Linked DNA regions of Yarrowia lipolytica. The protein of the gene in region 1 binds, or shares a complex with, the protein of each later gene. Links are inferred from orthologs where the notes say so. Each region holds a gene or a part of one and is shown on either strand. Other genes may lie near its edges.

Region 1 (5,767 bases):
GGAACGGCCCCTTTCGAGTGAGTATCGCGCAGCGGGTTTCGAGAGCACAAAACGCCGCGGCCTGGCCGTAAACACACCCAGAAATGGCTATGTCAATCGACACAAGGTGACCCCAACACCAAAGAGACGTGGTGGGTGGAACGAATGACCGTATGAATGGAACGACCATATGAATGGAATGAACAGCTGATTCACTCTCGGGTCTTTCGTTTGTGCCACGTCACCGAGATGTCTGCAGACTATGTAGAGACTGACTCCGTCTGAGCCCCACTAACACAACCCAGTACCTTCGATGGTCTGCTCATAACCGACCCCATCTCTTCTTCGCCTTCGCCATTGGAATCGCCGGCCCTGTCGCCGCGCTCACACTGACTCCTCTACGAAGAAAGTACCTTTACCCCGATCACAGCCCCCTTCCCCAATCATATCCTCGTGAGTATTATTAAGAGTTGTTGCGTTGCAATGGACGTCGGTGGTTGACAAAACTGCCAGTCTGTCTGATGGTCTGTGATAGTCTGTGATTGGTCTGTGATGTTTGTGATTGTCTGTGATTTGTCTTGTGATTGTCTGTGGATTGTCTGTGGATTGTCTGTGATTGTCTGTGATTTTCTGTGATTGTTCTGTGATTGGTCTGTCTGGTAACTGGACGAGCTGATCCCAAGCCACCATGACTACCTCAATCAACCGAATCAGACTGCAGTCGACTAGATCAACTGACCAGACTACTGAGCTTCTACGGTCTGAGTCGCAGGCCCTGCGGTCATCGGCTCATACCGTCAGCCTCCACTGCACCCCATTTTTACTATACTAACCGAGTCCCCCAGCGTGCTCGAGAGCAGCTCACTGGCTTCGATGACGAGTAAATAGCATGAATTCATTAGACTTATAAGTTGCACAGACCGAGGGACGGCACTTGGAGGAAGATGGTCGGTACAATTGGACTGTAGCCCAACCTGCCGCAACACTTCATGATGGAGTACCAACGACCACCCGACAAGTTGGAGTCGTTCGGAAGGTGTATCTTGGAACAGTACATATATACTCGTACTTCTAGATGTTAATAGTCAGAACTCCAGATCACACTGTTCCATTCATATAAATGTCCTGACAAGTAGGTGCAAGTGCAGACGTATGACCAACACCTCTTCTCCGAGATTATGTTCGACAGATGATTAGTGTATTCTACTGTCTAAGCACAGCCCTTCGTCATTTACATATCAACTGGTACATACAGTACTCGTTCCTCTGAGCTCTTAGATCATCTTCACCTGTTTCATGGAAGCGATCTCGTCACCTGATATGTTCCAGCTGCTACCCCGTTGCTGCTACTTCTGTTACTCATTCTTCGGTGGCTTACTCGTTAAGAACTAACAACTCGTTTCGCACGCTATTCGCTCATCGGTTACTCATTTTGTTCATTTCGTTCGAGCAACGCGCTATGCTCGTCACTCGCCCTAGCTATATACATTACCATCGGTAGTCAGACTTGAGGTACCCATCTCCCACCTTTCGGGTCTCGTGCTGGAACACGGGCTTCTTGGCCAGGCGCTTGTACTCCTTGTCACGGGCCTCTCGCTGCTGGGTCACGGGGGTTCGCAGAATAGCCCGGATGTGGATGTACTCGGCGTGTTTCATGCCGGCTCGTCCTCGGCCCTTCGGGTCCACGAACCGGAACTTTCGGGGGTCCGAGCCGACCCAGATCTCGTCAATGTACAGAGTCTCGGGGTCAATGTTCATGTCCTTGGCGGCGCTGACTCCTCGCTGGAGCAGCTCAGCAACGGGTCGGCCCATTCGCTTGGCAGAAAACTGGCACTGAGTGATGGCCTCACGCACGTTCATCTTACGCAGCATTCGCAGCAGCAGCTGGGCCTTCTTCCAGGTGCCGTCGATTCGGTACGACTTGCAGTAGACAGAGGGCTCGAACGCCTTGATCTCGTTGGGCGACAGCACCATCTGGTACTCCCGGCCGTCGACAGACACCTTTTTGGTCTTGTCGTAGCCCTTGTGCTGGCTCTGGTAGGCGTCCCACAGCCGCTGCTTGAGGGCGGTGCCGTACTTTGCAATACCCACCTCCGCCTCGCCCTTTTGCTCGGCAATGTACTCCTGCAGCTTGGTGTCGTTTTTGAACGATGGCAGCTTGCCCTTGGTCTCGTCGGCGTTCTGCTCGACCTCCTTGGATCTCTTGTTTGCCGTCGCCTTGTCCAGATCCTGCTTGATGGACTCCTTGTTTTCTGTCATGCTGCCGAACCAGTCGTTGGATCGCGCGGCGGTAGAGTGGAACGGCCGCAGGGCAACCAGCCGGGAGGCCGGCGCCACGCTTTTGCCAAACATCTTCTTCCACAGCATGGTTGTGTGTGCTGTTATACGGTCAGTGAGGGCTCGTATGGTGATGCGTCAACTGGAGATAGATTTTTCAGGGTACGGGTTAACAGAGAGTCAACCTAAACGGGAGAAACTGCAACAACCGTGAGACAAGAGTATACTGTCGGAGCCGAATCGGAGTTAGGAGCGATATAAGTGGTTGTAGGAAGGAATCTTGTCCTCGTTTACACATAAGTCGGTCGAACAACACCAATAATCACCTCATTCTTCAATCCCCATCCTTTCTTCAACCCATGCAGTAGTCTGGAGAGTGGTGTCGGGTCCCGTGGGTTCGATTCCAGGTTGTGTTCATTCTTGTATGCACTTTTAGAATTGTTAATATGTTGATGAAGAGCACGGTTTTTGGTTATCCTGGGGTCTACGTATGTATTAATTCTGTCTTTTGAATATCTCTACTATCATTACTTGTTTCAGTAGACACCTCCTCTCTATATATACTCGGATATATTGACATGATTTAGTATACACAGCCAACAGAGTGGTTATTATTGGTACTGGATTAGTAAGCAATGTAAGATCACGTGAGAAGACACAACCGAAACAGCTGTCTCAGATTCTTCGCTCTTGACACTTGTATCTCTCTCATGGTGTCTGGAAGCCCGCAACCGAGACATATAGCATGGTCTTTTTTAGTTGACTTTTAGTTGAAAGAAGAAGTTGTGATGGGTTTCTGTCTGGTGCTCCAGTTGCTTTCGTAGAGAAAAAAGCGTATAAAACTGTAGAGCAGTGTCACACAGTCTCCGATATATACTATTGACATGATATTTCTGTTACAAACTCGCCCATTCGACACAGTTATGTGATTTCAAGCTGATACTTTACTTGAATGTTTAGTTGACAAGTGTGTCTGGCGTGGGTCCGAATACAACGACTACAGTGCTCTTTGAGATTTGCAGTGTCCACTCTCTCTACCCTCTCATGTCATAATCATTAAATATGTAAATGCAGTGTATCACGATTTTCTATCCTCACGGTCACGCCATGTCTCTCAGTTCCACCTCGCCCGAACGCAACAGTCGATGGCCCTCATCGCTGTCGTCTTCTTCTCCCATCACTTCCACGTCCACGGGCTTCACGTACTTCCTCTTGACCAGAGGACGACATCCCTTGTATTTCACCTGCTGGTAGAGCAGAACGAGATCCCAGAAAAAGCGGAACCAGCATGCCCAAAAGAGACCCGAGGGACGCACGGCCCGCACGACTTTGTTTCGGTTTCTCTCCTTGGTGGGCTTGGCCTTTTTGGCGCCCAGAACGTCGAGAATCCCGAAAAACGCGCCCGCCAGATCCAGCACAATGAGCAAAAACGACGAGCCCACACAGCTCTGCACCGTCCAGTTGCACGACACCTGCGGCACGTAACGGGCGTAGACGCTGAAGTCTCCGATGATTCCAAGCCAGTCCACCACGTCAATGAACTTGATACCCAGATAGCCGACTCCAGGAGGCGAGGGCACCTTTGCAAAGGGATGGGACTTGACCGCCATCAGCAGGAACACAAGCACGCCGAAAAAAAGACCCATAATCACCTTGCATTCCAGAGACCACGACTGCGCATTGGTCTGGGTGTGTCTGTATGAATACCACGCCTGCACAGCACACACGCCCCACACCAATGACTCGTTCAAGTCAATTAGGGCAATCACCCCGGACGCGCTGGGCATATCAAACGCTAACGGGTATCTCTGCACAAACTGCCGATGGACCAGATCGCTGTTGATGTATGTGAGGGTGAAGACGAAATGACACACCGCCCCCACGAACGCCCAGAGTCCGTAGTCGAGCGAAAAGCCAGCCACCGACGACCGTTTGTTGTTGAGAACGGCCTGCGGATACGGCGTAAGCAGCCGCAACGCCTGGTGCAAATATATCCATCCCGTCATAGCTGGGTCGATATGCCGTAATTATATATGAGATGAGGTATATATTGAGACCGCGTATGCATGCTTGGTGCAGTATGCATAAACCTTAATATGATACATTATATAGCGGGGTGAGTTGGATATTGAGGTTGGCTGATATTGAGGTTTTGTCGATTGGGGAAAGGAGATTGGCGAATTTGGTAGACAGAAGAGATATTGTGATACATGTTCACACACTCTGCGGTTCATCCAGTACTTTGTAAGCGTAATATAGATTCGACTGTAACTTGCCCATTATTCTCACAGGCGACTAAAGAATAAAAGAAATGGATTCCTCAGATACAGAGGATCATTTTGGTACCAGGAACGGGTGGTTTAGATGGCGTTCATGTGCTGTTATGTGTTACTTTGACTTGTTATGTTGATGTTCTACTTAGAGAGAGTGGGAGTGCGGCAAGTGCGTCGCGGCAAGGGGTGTGTTTCCCCTGTTTTTTTTTTCCCCCTCTTTTTTCTTCTTCTTTCTACTCATCGCTTTACCACCCTCCTTTGGCGCATCTAACACTCCAACCATAGTCCTTCGACTCAATCGCCCAATTTGATCTCTTCACTTGTCACCAACCTCTCCTGTGCAGTTGTCATGTGCTCCACCACAACTCCTCTTCCTGGCGACATGACAAATGGGGCTACTCACGATCATCAAGAAACAAAAGCTCAAGGATAAGGAGATCCGTGTGCTCATGCTGTGAGTGAGAGGAAGCGACGTGTCTGGGTGTGAGAGGGAACAGTACTAACACAGTGGTCTGGACAACTCGGGCAAGACGACGATAGTCAAGAAGATTCTCAACGAGGACGTGAACGAGGTGTCTCCGACGCTGGGCTTCAACATCCGCACGGTGACAAGGGGCCAGTACAAGCTCAACATCTGGGACATTGGCGGCCAAAAGACTCTGCGACCTTTCTGGAGAAACTACTTTGAGAAGACGGACTTCATGATCTGGGTGGTAGACGCCAGTGCCACCGACCGACTCCACGATTGCCGCAAAGAGCTGCAAGCGATTCTCAACGAGGACCGACTGGTTGGAGCCGGAGTGCTCATCTGGATCAACAAGCTGGATCTGGTGGACCCAGATCAGCGGGACAAGACCGTTGAACGCATCAGCGGCCATCTGGACCTCGACCAGATCCCCGAGGGCCACAACACCACCATAATGGGCTGCAGTGCGTACACGGGGTACAATTTGGACGCAGGCATGGATCTGGTGGTGAAAGAGGTGTCTGAACGGTTGTTTTTGTTTGATTAGGAACGAGGAGCGAGGAGCGAGGAGCGTCTACAGTCAAGACTGGACTAGGAGAAAGTCGAAAACGTCGAAAAGTTGCATCTAAACGACGAAAAGAGGGTCTTTAAGTCATCAGTGCACGGCAGAAGAACCAAAGTGCTTGAACTGGAGGAGAATGTGGGTTGAATGGAGTGTGTACTACCTACAGTACTTACAATACTTGGTAACTGAGTTGTATACCCAGCTGTC
Region 2 (6,105 bases), on another chromosome or scaffold:
ATCGGTATCGATATGACAATACATTTTGGGTAGATGAGCGATCGAAGATAGAACCAGCAACTACTAATACGCCTACGGTTAAGGCTTTCATGAGCATTTGCAGCTTATGATTGTTGTTACAGTATTTTTTCTTTCTTTCTTCTGTTTCTTGTTTCTTCTCAACTAGAGTTCACTAAAGTTGCTTTTGTTAGTTGGAATTAGTTGGGGATAATATACAGTCTTATTTGATCGACTTTACCTGAGATTTGGGCGGCAAATAACTTGATGAACCCTTCCAAATGGTCTATTGAGGGATTCTATTTTCCTAATATTCTCTTATTGCATCATTACTTATTGGTAGGCTGTTTCTGGTCAATTACATAGTGCATATAAAGTTCAAGTTAGCACCTGCGGGAATCGAACCGCAGCGTGAAAAAACTACACCTCTTGATCCATCGCCAATCATCCAGATCATCTCACACACAAAAATGCTGCGAACCCGTGCCTTTTCCACGTCGGCGCGAGTGCTGAGCTACATTGGAAAGCAGCCCATTCTCGTTCCCGAGTCGGTGACGCTGCAGATCTCGCCCACTGAGGTGGTGGTTGAGGGTCCTCTGGGACGAGTCCAGATGTCCAAGCCGACTTTTGTCAACATTGCATCGTCCCAGGACACCATGAGCTCCGGCTCTGTGCTGTCTGTGTCGGTTAACGACGCCACCAACAAGACGCAGCGAGCCATGTGGGGCACCATGCGAGGCCTCATCAACAACCATGTGACTGGTGTGACTGATGGCCATGTCGCTCTTCTGACCTTGGTGGGAACTGGATACCGAGCTGGAGTCGAGAAGGACGCCCACACCGGCGCTCCCATTGTCTCCGTTCGATGCGGTTTCTCCCACCCCATCAACTTTGTCATTCCTGCTGGCATCGAGGTGACTACACCCATCCCCACTCGAATTCTCATCAAGGGCGCTGACAAACAGCAGGTCAAGCTGTTTGGAGCTTCCATTCGACTCAAGCGACCCCCGGAGCCTTACAAGGGCAAGGGAATCTACCTCGACGACGAGACCATCACCCGAAAGGCCACCAAGGTGAAATAAATGTAAATAGATTGGTTATGAAAAGATTTGACACGACACCAGTAGCATGTGGCTTCTGTTGAGGTTAGCATGAATCGCGCAACCAACAAACCTGTAGAAACAGAACCTGTACTTGTACAGTAGCGCACGCCGCTTTGGCTATACCCTCGCATGACATATCTCGAACGATACCCCGACAAGAGGCGATGACAAGGATACCAACTCGTCTGAATGAGTATCTGAGTCTGACAGTCCGATAAGATACCGAAGCAGTTCTCGTACTACAGGCTAATGTATATATCATATCCAACAAACGGCTCGCTCTAGAGACTCTCATTATTGATATTATCCCAAAATGGATCCATAGGCCGCTACATTCACGTCTACAACTCAAGCAGGCTAGTCATTCTATGTACATAAGCTGAATGTCGACAGTAGCGTCGCATTCTAGGATTCGTCAACATGACAAGGTCTAGTTAACAAGATGTTCCTCCTCATCAATGATGAGGGGATCAATGAGTGAGTCGGCCAGGTTGACGACTCGTCCGTCTGGGAAGGTCAGAGACCACTCGAGCACTCGGAACTTTTCTCGGCCGGAGGCTCGTCGCGAGTTGAAATGCATGATGGCCTCGGCCTTGTTTCCCTTGACGGGGAAGGAGAAGTCCACCTTTCCAACAAGAGGACGAATGGTTCCCGACACCCAGGTGTAGGCACTGGCGAATCGGATACCCGAGCCCAGCTCCTCGTTGGCCAGGGGCGACTTTCGGAGCGTGTACATGCAAGATGAGACCTGCGAAGACGACATCTTCTCGTAGTTGAAGGAGAAGGCCAGAGACACGGTCATGATGACCACAAACAGACCAAATCCGGCCCATCGGCGCATCTTGTGGCTGGTAATGTTAGGCAGCTCCGTGTCCACGGTGACAGGTGCATTGGGCACCTTTTCGGGCGTGAACGGCTCAAAGGTGTGGCCCTCGTAACGTCGCAGGTTTCGGTCTTCGGGCAGCAGCTTTTCGTCGTCCTTCTTGGCGTCGGTCGACTGCTGGTGGAGCCACAGACGGCTGGTTGTGGACAGGGGTCGGGCGACCGAGAGAGGTCGCAGCAACGAAGGCAGAGCTCGTTGGGGACGCAGTAGTCGAAGCATTGTGTGAGTGTGTGCGAGGTGTGTGGTGGACTGCTCTGATATTGTAAGACGTACGGTATATTTGCTTTTATAGTTTGTATGGGTGTGGGTAGAAGGAGCTCTCCAAAGACCACCAGTAGCAGGTGTTTGGGAGCAAGTTGCACCGGAAAGAACTAACAGAGAGATTTGCACTGTAGATGTGGGTTGGTTTATGGGCAATTGGGGGGAAAAAGACCCCTATCGATGGTCATACTGTCCGCTTAAGATTACTTTCACCTCAGATTAACTTACTTAACAAACAGACTCAGCGTTACTTGAGAAATAGCTACAATTGTATCGAGGAAACAGATGACTTCAAACCAGCACCAAAAAGTGTGGGATTGAAAAAAATGACACCGGCAATCAACTTGCAGAGTCCACCATGGTATTTCAGCTCTTTCTCAGCCGTTGTCATTACCCCCCCTCGGTTCCTAAGTAAACGCAGGTTGGTCCTCCCACCTAGCTTCAAAGTTACCCTACCGTGAAATTTCCCAAGATTTTGACATTGCAGAACCACCACCCAGATCTGATCACACACACAAAAATGTTGCCTCGACTCCGTCTCATGGCAGAGGCCACTCCCGTGCGCGTGTTCAGCCGCGGCGTGGCCCAGCTCATCTCGCCCAACGCCAACGTCCCCGCCGCCGAGGCTCCCGCTCGAAACAACTCGCCTGCGGCCGCCTACGCCCGAAAGCAGCTGGTGTCTCGAACCGGAGCTCTGGCGTTCAAGCGAGGCATGATCTCGTGGTACGACGAGAACGGCGTGCACATGCCCGCCACGGTGCTGGAGATTGATCTGTGCCAGGTGGTGGGCCACAAGACCGAGGAGAAGCACGGATACAACGCCGTCCAGGTCGGAATGGGACACAGAAACAAGGCGCTGCAGAAGATGAACAAGAGCAAACTCGGCCAGTTTTCGGCCGCCACCGTCAACCCCAAGCAGGCGGTTGCCGAGTTTCGAATCCGCGGCAAGGACGGCCTTCTTCCCATCACCACCGAGATCACTGCCTCGCACTTCAAGGTCGGCCAGTACGTCGATGTCCAGGCCACCTCCAAGGGTAAGGGATTCTCCGGAGTCATGAAGCGACACGGCTTCTCCGGTCTGCCCGCTTCCCATGGTGTTTCGCTCAAGCATCGATCCGGAGGAACTACCGGTCAAAACACCGATCCTGGACGAGTGTTCCCCGGACGAAAAATGGCCGGAAACATGGGTAACGAGACCGTCACCCTCAAGAACCAAAAGGTGCTATCCGTTGACGAGGACACCGGAATTGTCATTGTCAAGGGCATGGTCCCCGGCTCCAAGGGCAAGATTGTCAAGCTCAGCGACGCCCGAAACATGTACGGCGTGGCCGCCCATGATGTCAAGTCCAGACTCGGTCCTCTGGTCCCTGAATAAATGTATATAGATCGCATAGTGCAATAACCGCGGAAGCGGATAACAGAGAATCGACGGGGTAGATAGATGGCTTGTAGAACCGCATAAGGTCGTGGACAACAGCCCTCTCCAGGCGAATCGTTGCTACAAGTAGTTGTACATACAAGATACTATTACAAGTACAAGTATACGGGCACAAATACTCGTACTAGTATCGTACGATGGTACACAGATATTTTCAACAATATATTTACTGAATGATATGGATGGTCTCACTTACAATTTTGCTCGGATCTTTGGCTCCGCTCATGATCTACAAATCCTCGTCCATATCGGCGGGCTTGACCAAACCGCCAATCTTGAGAGCCTTCTCCTTGTTCTGTCGCTCGGCCTCGACCCGATCCCGCTCCTTGTCCTCGGCGTACAAATGCTCCGTGTTGCCTCCGCCATACTCCTTGATCTGCACCAGGAAGTCTCGCAGATTGAGCTTGAACCGGGGGAAGTCCTTGTGTAATGCAAACAGACCCTCAATGAAGTTGGACACCTGGCCCTCGGTCAGATGAGGGAAGGCCTCCAGCAGCATGTGGCCCATGTACTGCCGCAGATAGACAGAGTTGGACGTGCCATCGGGCACCTGGCCGGGCTGGTACAGAGGCACCGAGATGGCGTTGGACTCGACCAGATCAATCTGCTTGGCCAGCACCTGGCACTGCTGCTTGAAGCCGGCCTTGTGGTCCGTGTCTGTGAGCACATGGAACATACCCTGCAGAATGTTGAAAAAGTAGTTCTGGTAGAACTTTGCGGCAAACTCAGGTGTGGCCTTCTCGGACACGTTTTGCAGCAGCTCGTATGTCAGAGCCAGACCTGCAGACTCCACCTCTCGGTGATCGTGTTTGGAAGCCCACAGACACGCGTCCACCACGAGAGAAAAGCCCTCGTCGGGAAGAGTAACAATGGCAGCAAACGAGTACAGGTTGATGGCTCGCAGCAGCTCAAAAAAGCCAACTCGGTGCTCGGGGTAGTCGGTGAAGTTGGTGTTGATCATGTTGAGAGTGCACTCAAACACATTCTGCAGAATCATGACAACTCCGTCGGGAATCTGGCCGCCCACGCGGGTCACGACCGTGTTCATGCAGTTGAGCACCTCGGCGTCTCGAGCGTCAGGCACGTTGGAGCTGTAGTCCTCCAGGACGGCCTGGAAGAGAGGAGGCGCCAGGTTCTGCGACACATCCTCGAGGTTGTCGGCGGTGGAGACGTAGGTCTGGATCAGCTTCAGCGACTCCTTCTTGATGGTTCGCAGACCTCGAACCTTGGGGGTTCGGGTAGCAATCTGGCCCTGCGAAGCCACTGCCTCGGAAATGGTGCTGGACACGGCCCGGTACAGGTGCAGCATGTCCATGTAGATGAGCTTCAGCTGGGGCTGGAAGCCGGCGCCGAGAGCGGTGCAGGTGGCCACATTGGTTTTCATCACGTTGGAGAAAGTCTTGACGGGCTCAGGGTTGGACAGAATGTCAGGGTCGTTTCGAGCCTGGTTCATGAGCTGCTCCCAGGCCTGATTGGGGAGTCGCATGAGCTCAGAAAGCAGCCGTTCTCGAATGGCTCGGGCGTTCTGGGCGGAAATGATATGGCCACAGGCCTCGTAGAACGTGTGGACCTGCGAGGGCTGCAGCGCCTCGGTGATCTCGCCCAGATCTCGAACGATCTCATCGATGAAAGGCTCTGTCTCGTTGGGCTGCTGGGCCACAAAGTGCCGCTTGCACTTTTGCGCAATCTTGATAAAGGTGTCACAGGCCATATCCTGGACACCCTCGTGGGTCTCCTTCATGAACTCAAACAGCTTCTTGACGACCGTTTTGAGGAACTTCCAGTGCGCCTTGAGGAATCGGGGGTACTGGCCGACAATGTACATGATGTCTGAGGCGACCACAGCCTTGTTGTCCTTGCCACGCATCTGGTCCGTCAGCGACAGCAGCTTCTTGACCACGGACACGAGGAACCGCTTCTCCAGCTCCTCGTTCATGGCACCCGAAATGGAACCAATGGCCCAACAGAGGGTGTTGAGATTGTTCCAAGACCACTCAGAGCCGTCCAGCTGTCGGGCCAGTTTGTCGGACATGATTCGCTCGGTGTCAGACACGTCCAGGTGGGTCAAGTAGACCAGCACCTCCCGCATGCTCTTGTACAGAATGATGGTGTCGGACTCTCGGAAGAACTCTCGCACGATTTCTCCCTCGTCGTTCTCCACAATGAGCACCTCTTCGGGACGGGCCATATTCTCAATCATCACCAGACGCAGCTGCGACAGAACGGGGCCATACATGTGCTTTCGAAGGTTGTAGTTTTGCAGCACCTCGGGGGCAATGGCACCCTGGGCGTTCAGGTTCTGGCCAAAGGGGTTCTGAGCAAACACAGAGTTGAGGTCGTTGAGAGGCAGACTCTGGATCTCCTCGTAGAGCTGGGAGACGAGACGTCCCCAGTAGTCCAGGCACACCTTGAACAGCTCTCGC
Region 3 (5,860 bases), on another chromosome or scaffold:
CCTACTACCGAGCTCTCAACCTGGACGCCATCACCGTGGACTCCACCATTCCCAATGGCTGCACTGCCGGTGTTCTTGCTGATCCCAAGACTGGTGTTGTGCGAGCCTTCTGGCTGTCCTGCATGGGCGAGCGAACCGAGGGCCGTCAGCACGAGTACCGACTCGGAATCGACACCAGCACCTTCCTGGAGACCGTGCAGCGAATCCGAGCCGGAAAGCCTCCCCAGGAGCGGTTCCTGGACGTTGAGATCGCCTCTGTGTCCATGATCCAGGCTCGAATCCGAGGCGTGTCTCCCGAGTGGATTGCTGCCGTTGAGCAGGACAACTCGCAGCGACACCAGCTGTTTGAGGTCATTCGAACCGCTACACCCATCAATGGCAACTCCCAGGCGCTCAAAGAGGGAGACATTCTGCTGTCCATCAACGGCAAGCTGCTGACGACCCTGACAACGCTCAGCGAGGCCGGCGACAAGGAGCAGGTGACCATCAAGCTGGTGCGAAACAAAAAGGAGGAGGAGATCCAGGCTCCCACCACGGATTCGGCTTTCGAGACCTCTCAGGCCGTCTTCTGGTGCGGAGCTGTTCTGCAGACCCCCCACCATGCTGTTCGTCAGCAAATCAAAAAGATCCACTCGGGCGTCTACGTGTCCAGTCGAGCCCAGGGATCTCCCGCTTACCAGTACTTGATTGCGCCCACCAACTTCATCACTCACGTGAACGGCACCGCCACTCCTGATCTGGAGACGTTCCTGTCTGTGGTGACCAAGATCCCTGACAATACCTACGTCAAGTTGCGTATTGTCACGTTTGACAACGTGGCGTTTGCGTGTTCCATGAAGATGAACTACCACTACTTCCCCACGGCGGAGATCAAAAAGGAGGGCAATGAGTGGGTTGGATACAGTTATAAGGACGGTAAGCGAGTCAAGGAGAGCGATGAAAATGTCGAGGAGCAGGTGAACGAGGCTGAAAAGCAAGAGTAAATAGAGACCCAAAAATGTATAGATTGCATGTTTAGTTACAGAGGTGTTATTGTTTGTAGTCTATGGCACGGGTACAAGTACAGTACTGTACGTTATGTAGTGTGGAGTGAGGCTGTAGTAATCGTAGTATGACATGTTGTGCTACTTGTAGAACAATACACTACCGCGCAATTAAGTGCTCGGACTCATCACCGATCTTATCATCTTGCCAACGACAACTGGTCACACGACTTTTCACTCCATGTATTCAGGCACCCCACATTCTCCACCTTGAGGATTACCCCAATATATTTATTATATGGAGAGCTAAAAGTACACAAGACATGACCCAACAAGACCTGGTGGCAAAAGCCATAATCAAGTGGAACATAGATTAACAGTGATGCTTGTCATGTGGAGACGCAGACGTGAGTGTGTGTGTCACCTACAGTAGATTTGTTGAGAAATATCCACTGTTATTGCAGTATCGCGCCTGGTACGAGTACTTGTTGAAGCTATCTGTAAGACCCTACATGGACCCTACATACCCTATCGTATCGTACATTTCCATATCAGCGCTTACAGTTACCCCAGAATGTTTATTACACGCTACTGGTCGCCACAAAGAGCAAATGTGGAAGAATAACACGCCAGAGGTTGCACTGGCACGTAGCAAGCAGGAGGGGAACTCGCAAGCTGCATCTACCCCTTATAATTATGTTGCAATAGTCTTGTTTTGCCCCATGACGTTCGTGGACCCGAGGTCACGTGCACTCAACAACCTTACTGGTCCTGTCTTTGTTGCATGGCGACGAAAGTCTCTGAAAGGCTGTAAGGCTATATATAATCAAAAAAGCGCCCCTGGGTCCGCTGTAATCAGAAAACACTCTCAAGAAACACAAATGCTCGATATCTGTGACGCCGACAAACAACAATTAGTGACAAGCGTGATTGAACAGTGCAACCGCGAGTCCAACGCCTCAGCATTTGGAGATCGACTCCATTATTGGTTGACTGGCGAGGAGCTCAAGCCTTTTGTGCCTGAAAAAAATGTCGGTCTTTTGGCCAACGAGCCCTCTTCAGATCGACAAGAGTATGCTCCTCGTGAGTCTGCCATTGAGTGGGACTCTGGTCTGTCCAGCCTTAACCCTGTGGATGCTGTTGAAATGATGGGTTATGGTGTCTATTTTATTGGTTGGTTGTTGCTTGGCCAGTAACCCCCCTCTGCTACAATTGTAGTATGATACTTACGACATTCATATCGCTGGTACTTTCGCAGTACCGCGTCTCCACCACGGCCTGAGTACAAGTGCTGTACCTACCCACGGCCTAGCTGTCCCATCAAAACCGTGATCTAAACCCCGCGCGCCCTATTTATTATTTGCAGAGTATGCAATGATTACATCTTATACAGAAAAATACATCAATTAATTTAAACAGCTCGGTACGTGCACTACGAACTTGTATCCGTCTGTACTGTACAGACTTCTCGTGCATCCAAGAGGGTTCTAATTGCTATATACATTAAGGGGATTGTTTGAAAGGCACGTACTTCTTGACATGCTTCTTCTGGAAACCGGTGAGCTCGGTCATACCGGTCTTCTTTCGCAGCAGAGCAGCGGACCATCCAGTGTTTCCGTGCTTTCGTCCGGTTTTTCCCTGAGTTAGTGGCGATCTGGAAGTTGTCATTGTTGATGTGTTCAGCTACAAGAGGTTATGAGTGTCTTGCTTGATCTGAGTGCCTGGTAAGCAACAAAAAAAACAAAAAAAACGCAGTGTGCGTAATCAGCCTGGTTGTGACAGGTAGTTCCGTGTCTGGTATCTCTTCTAGCTGCTGAAACAGTTAATCATCTCAGCTTGAAAGCTGTGTAACATAAGGCCATGATCAGATCAGAGGCAAAACTTTTCCGGCACTGAAATATCAGCTATCCACTCTATCATGGCTTGATCGGAGTCGCTCCCAGCATTCCTTTTTCCTTATTTCCCCTCCTCTCCATCCTTGTGGCACTCACTCTGGTGATCTTTCCACTACCACAGATCTTGATTCGGTTGGCAACGGCCTTTTTGGTCTTGACATGGGCGGACTTGCAAGTGTTTCGCACAAACATCTGCGCCACGTTGTTCATGGCCACAGTCGGCCGTAGCGACTGAATCAGAGACAGCATTTTTGTATGGTCGTGTATGTGTGGTGATAGAGTCTGATATTCCAACCGACGATTTTGCAAAACCTTGTTTGTCACGTGGCGAGGTTTTCTTGCAGTGACTTACACAGGTGTGTTTGGGGTACTGGAAGGTGGCCGATGACTTCTTGCGGCGAGAGGACTTTTTATAAATCGTTAGAAAGTGTTTAGATTTCCCTATAAAATCTGTCGAACTTCATCCTTTTACTAGATTTTAAAAAAATTCACCCGTAACTCACAGACACCCTTGCACACTTACAGAGAAAAGCCTGACTAACACAGACTTGATACAAGTGAGAAACTCGTTTTTTCACATCTTGGCCAGCAGAATCGTTCAATTAATATATACATTTACTTCTTCTTTTCATCCTCCTCCACGAGCTTGCCGCCGTTCTCAAACGGAGCCTGCTTTCGAGCCTCGTCAATCATCTTTCCAACACCCTTCTTGGCAAGAGCGGCCTGGGTTAGTAAATACTGTGAGTGGTACGCCGGGTACCGATCTCCTGAATCGATCCTAATTCATCTCCAGGCTGCCCTCTCCCTCTCCCTACTCACCTTGACGCAATCCTCGTACTCGTGCCACAGATCGGCACACTCGTTCTCCATGGACTCTCCCTTGAGGAACTTCTCCGAGTACCAGTTGTTGAAGCAGTTGTCGTACTCCTTCTTGGCTTTAGTGCATTCCGGGGCAAAGGAGTTCATTGTGACGGTCGAGTGTAAAGTCGAAAATCATGCTTCACCGAGATGCCTGTATGCAACCCAAAATGATTATGTAAGCGAGTATACCTGATTCGGCCATGAGCTGAACGGGAACGACCATCCACACAACCCTAGGCAACCAACCATAGTATTCAGATATATTAGTCTGTCTGTCTTACTCATTAATAATAAAAATTCGTTTCACATTATCGGCGGAAGGCACTCAAAGCCACCACAATCCACATTCTTCTTCTTTTTCCCGCCCAAGCTGCTATCCTGGTTGTCGCAAGAGACGGAGCTCATCACGGTAGCTACCAAACTATTGTTTCAACCATGCCGTTTTCATCACTCAGTTTACAAAAACACCTTGCTGGTGACAGCATTGGCAGCTCGTGTACTTTCCGTTATCTTTCGCATCTCTCCCTCTCGCAGAACCAGTCCCATGAGTAGGATGACCTCGGAAAGATGAGTGCCACCATTGAAAATGCTAAACTCGCCAACCCGGCGCTGCTTCTTCAGTCTGCCCTCAGTCAGATAACTGTAGGCTCCTATGCAAGGACCACAGAGGGTGTCTGAGTCTGGCAGCACATTACCCTGTCTCTCAGTATGTTCGGTGTCAACAAGCCGCAGATGAAAGAATCCAGAGCCATAAGTGTTGGCAATGCCCGTCGTTCCGTACCATTGCAACTGCACGCCTTCGTAAGAAGCTGTAGTCACCCGCCTGGTTCCATGGGTAACCATGGTGATGTTGTCCCGCTCGCTGTCCACAAAGGTGAGAATGTACTCGATACGGTCGTTGTCAAGTACCTTTTGTGTCACACTGCACAGAAGCGACTTGTAGCACTCGGTTCCAGACATTGACACAGCCTCGCTACCTGGGCTCTGCTTATCGTCCAGCCGGTAAATCTCCATGTAGGTCTTGCCGAAGAAATGCGTGGACACAGACAGAATGGGTTTTTTGAGGCCATCGTCAAAAACGGTCACTCCATGTCGAAACATGGCCGAGTATATGCTGTAGACATCCCGTTCTCGCGGGTCGCCTTCAGGGGTTTCAAACAGCGTGGAGACCGCGGACTTGTTGTCGTCAAAGAGCGTTTCGTGCGAGGAGCGGGTGTCGGTGCGCTCCAGTGGTGCTCCAGCCTCGCCCGCTGCGCTGTTTTTCAGTGCCTTTTTCAATAGTCGCTGCATTATAGAGCTTGGTCAGTTTATTTTTTGCGCCTGAAAAACGCACTTGAAATTTTAGGAACTAAACGTTAGTGCATGACTGCTGCACTTGGCGCGTGACCCAAATGGCTATTCAGGTTCTGGGCAAGTTCTGGGCTACCCCAACCCCGACTTCTCAAAAGGGTATGACAGAAGTCTCAGAATAACATTTCAAAATACAACCACAACATTGCATGGGAAGGAGAATAATAATCTAAGACCCAGGTGATGGATTCCTGCAGGATGCGATGCTGCAGGTCAAGTGCCAGACCTGCTATATGATATAATGCCTCTTGAGCTCTCTCTCCCATACTACATACGAGTCTCACCTATTCTTCTCTCAACACCTGCCAGGGTGGTTTATACGACTTGGTTTTAACACCCAGCGATTCAAGGTAGGGGAACCAACTCTGTTCATCGCATTTGAAACCTAAAGGCGCGTTTCGCGCTCTGAATCCAAAACAGTGAGAGTGTCAATCATCACAAGCAGATTGAAGAGACGAGACGTAAACCCCAACCAAGATGCCATCACGACCAATGGCCCAAACCGTGGGAGCCGCCCTCGTTATTGGCGCCGACGACACGTCGCACTACGAAATGACCCGTGATGAGTCCTTTGTCATGTCGGAACAGCGCCGAAGAGCTTTCATGAGAGCGGTGCCAAACTACTCGTCCTCCACGCTCAACACCGTCGCCAGCGAGAGCTATTGCATCCCCGAAGACGTTTTGCATGCCGCCGGGGGCACGTCGACTCCAGAGAAGAAGCTGAACCAGCCCAGACAGCCTTCTGGAAGCCCTGTCCCTTTCAACACACAT

The links.
Region 2: YALI1_E28130g (region 1) and YALI1_F13602g share a complex: the UniProt entries of both Saccharomyces cerevisiae proteins name them as parts of the mitochondrial large ribosomal subunit. The link is inferred for Yarrowia lipolytica from reciprocal best matches to the Saccharomyces cerevisiae genes MRPL22 and MRPL9.
Region 3: YALI1_E28130g (region 1) and YALI1_F39183g share a complex: the UniProt entries of both Saccharomyces cerevisiae proteins name them as parts of the mitochondrial large ribosomal subunit. The link is inferred for Yarrowia lipolytica from reciprocal best matches to the Saccharomyces cerevisiae genes MRPL22 and MRP35.

The regions. Positions count from the first base shown.
Region 1 is NC_090774.1:2,810,721-2,816,487, forward strand, and holds YALI1_E28130g (mitochondrial 54S ribosomal protein uL22m), read right to left. Parts: upstream 2,347-5,767; coding exon 1,468-2,346; downstream 1-1,467. Other genes in the region: YALI1_E28107g (uncharacterized protein), read left to right, coding at 1-17, 285-432, 817-863; YALI1_E28150g (uncharacterized protein), read right to left, coding at 3,357-4,262; YALI1_E28156g (uncharacterized protein), read left to right, coding at 4,919-4,983, 5,038-5,542. UniProt on the Saccharomyces cerevisiae protein: Component of the mitochondrial ribosome (mitoribosome), a dedicated translation machinery responsible for the synthesis of mitochondrial genome-encoded proteins, including at least some of the essential transmembrane subunits of the mitochondrial respiratory chain.
Region 2 is NC_090775.1:1,357,508-1,363,612, forward strand, and holds YALI1_F13602g (mitochondrial 54S ribosomal protein uL3m), read left to right. Parts: upstream 1-2,764; coding exon 2,765-3,619; downstream 3,620-6,105. Other genes in the region: YALI1_F13579g (mitochondrial 54S ribosomal protein uL6m), read left to right, coding at 468-1,079; YALI1_F13597g (uncharacterized protein), read right to left, coding at 1,531-2,202; YALI1_F13644g (uncharacterized protein), read right to left, coding at 3,912-6,105. UniProt on the Saccharomyces cerevisiae protein: Component of the mitochondrial ribosome (mitoribosome), a dedicated translation machinery responsible for the synthesis of mitochondrial genome-encoded proteins, including at least some of the essential transmembrane subunits of the mitochondrial respiratory chain.
Region 3 is NC_090775.1:3,915,618-3,921,477, reverse strand, and holds YALI1_F39183g (uncharacterized protein), read right to left. Parts: upstream 3,128-5,860; coding exon 2,975-3,127; intron 2,622-2,974; coding exon 2,487-2,621; downstream 1-2,486. Other genes in the region: YALI1_F39236g (uncharacterized protein), read left to right, coding at 1-983; YALI1_F39199g (uncharacterized protein), read left to right, coding at 1,496-2,179; YALI1_F39176g (uncharacterized protein), read right to left, coding at 3,494-3,601, 3,698-3,844; YALI1_F39164g (uncharacterized protein), read right to left, coding at 4,196-5,029; YALI1_F39159g (uncharacterized protein), read left to right, coding at 5,567-5,860. UniProt on the Saccharomyces cerevisiae protein: Component of the mitochondrial ribosome (mitoribosome), a dedicated translation machinery responsible for the synthesis of mitochondrial genome-encoded proteins, including at least some of the essential transmembrane subunits of the mitochondrial respiratory chain.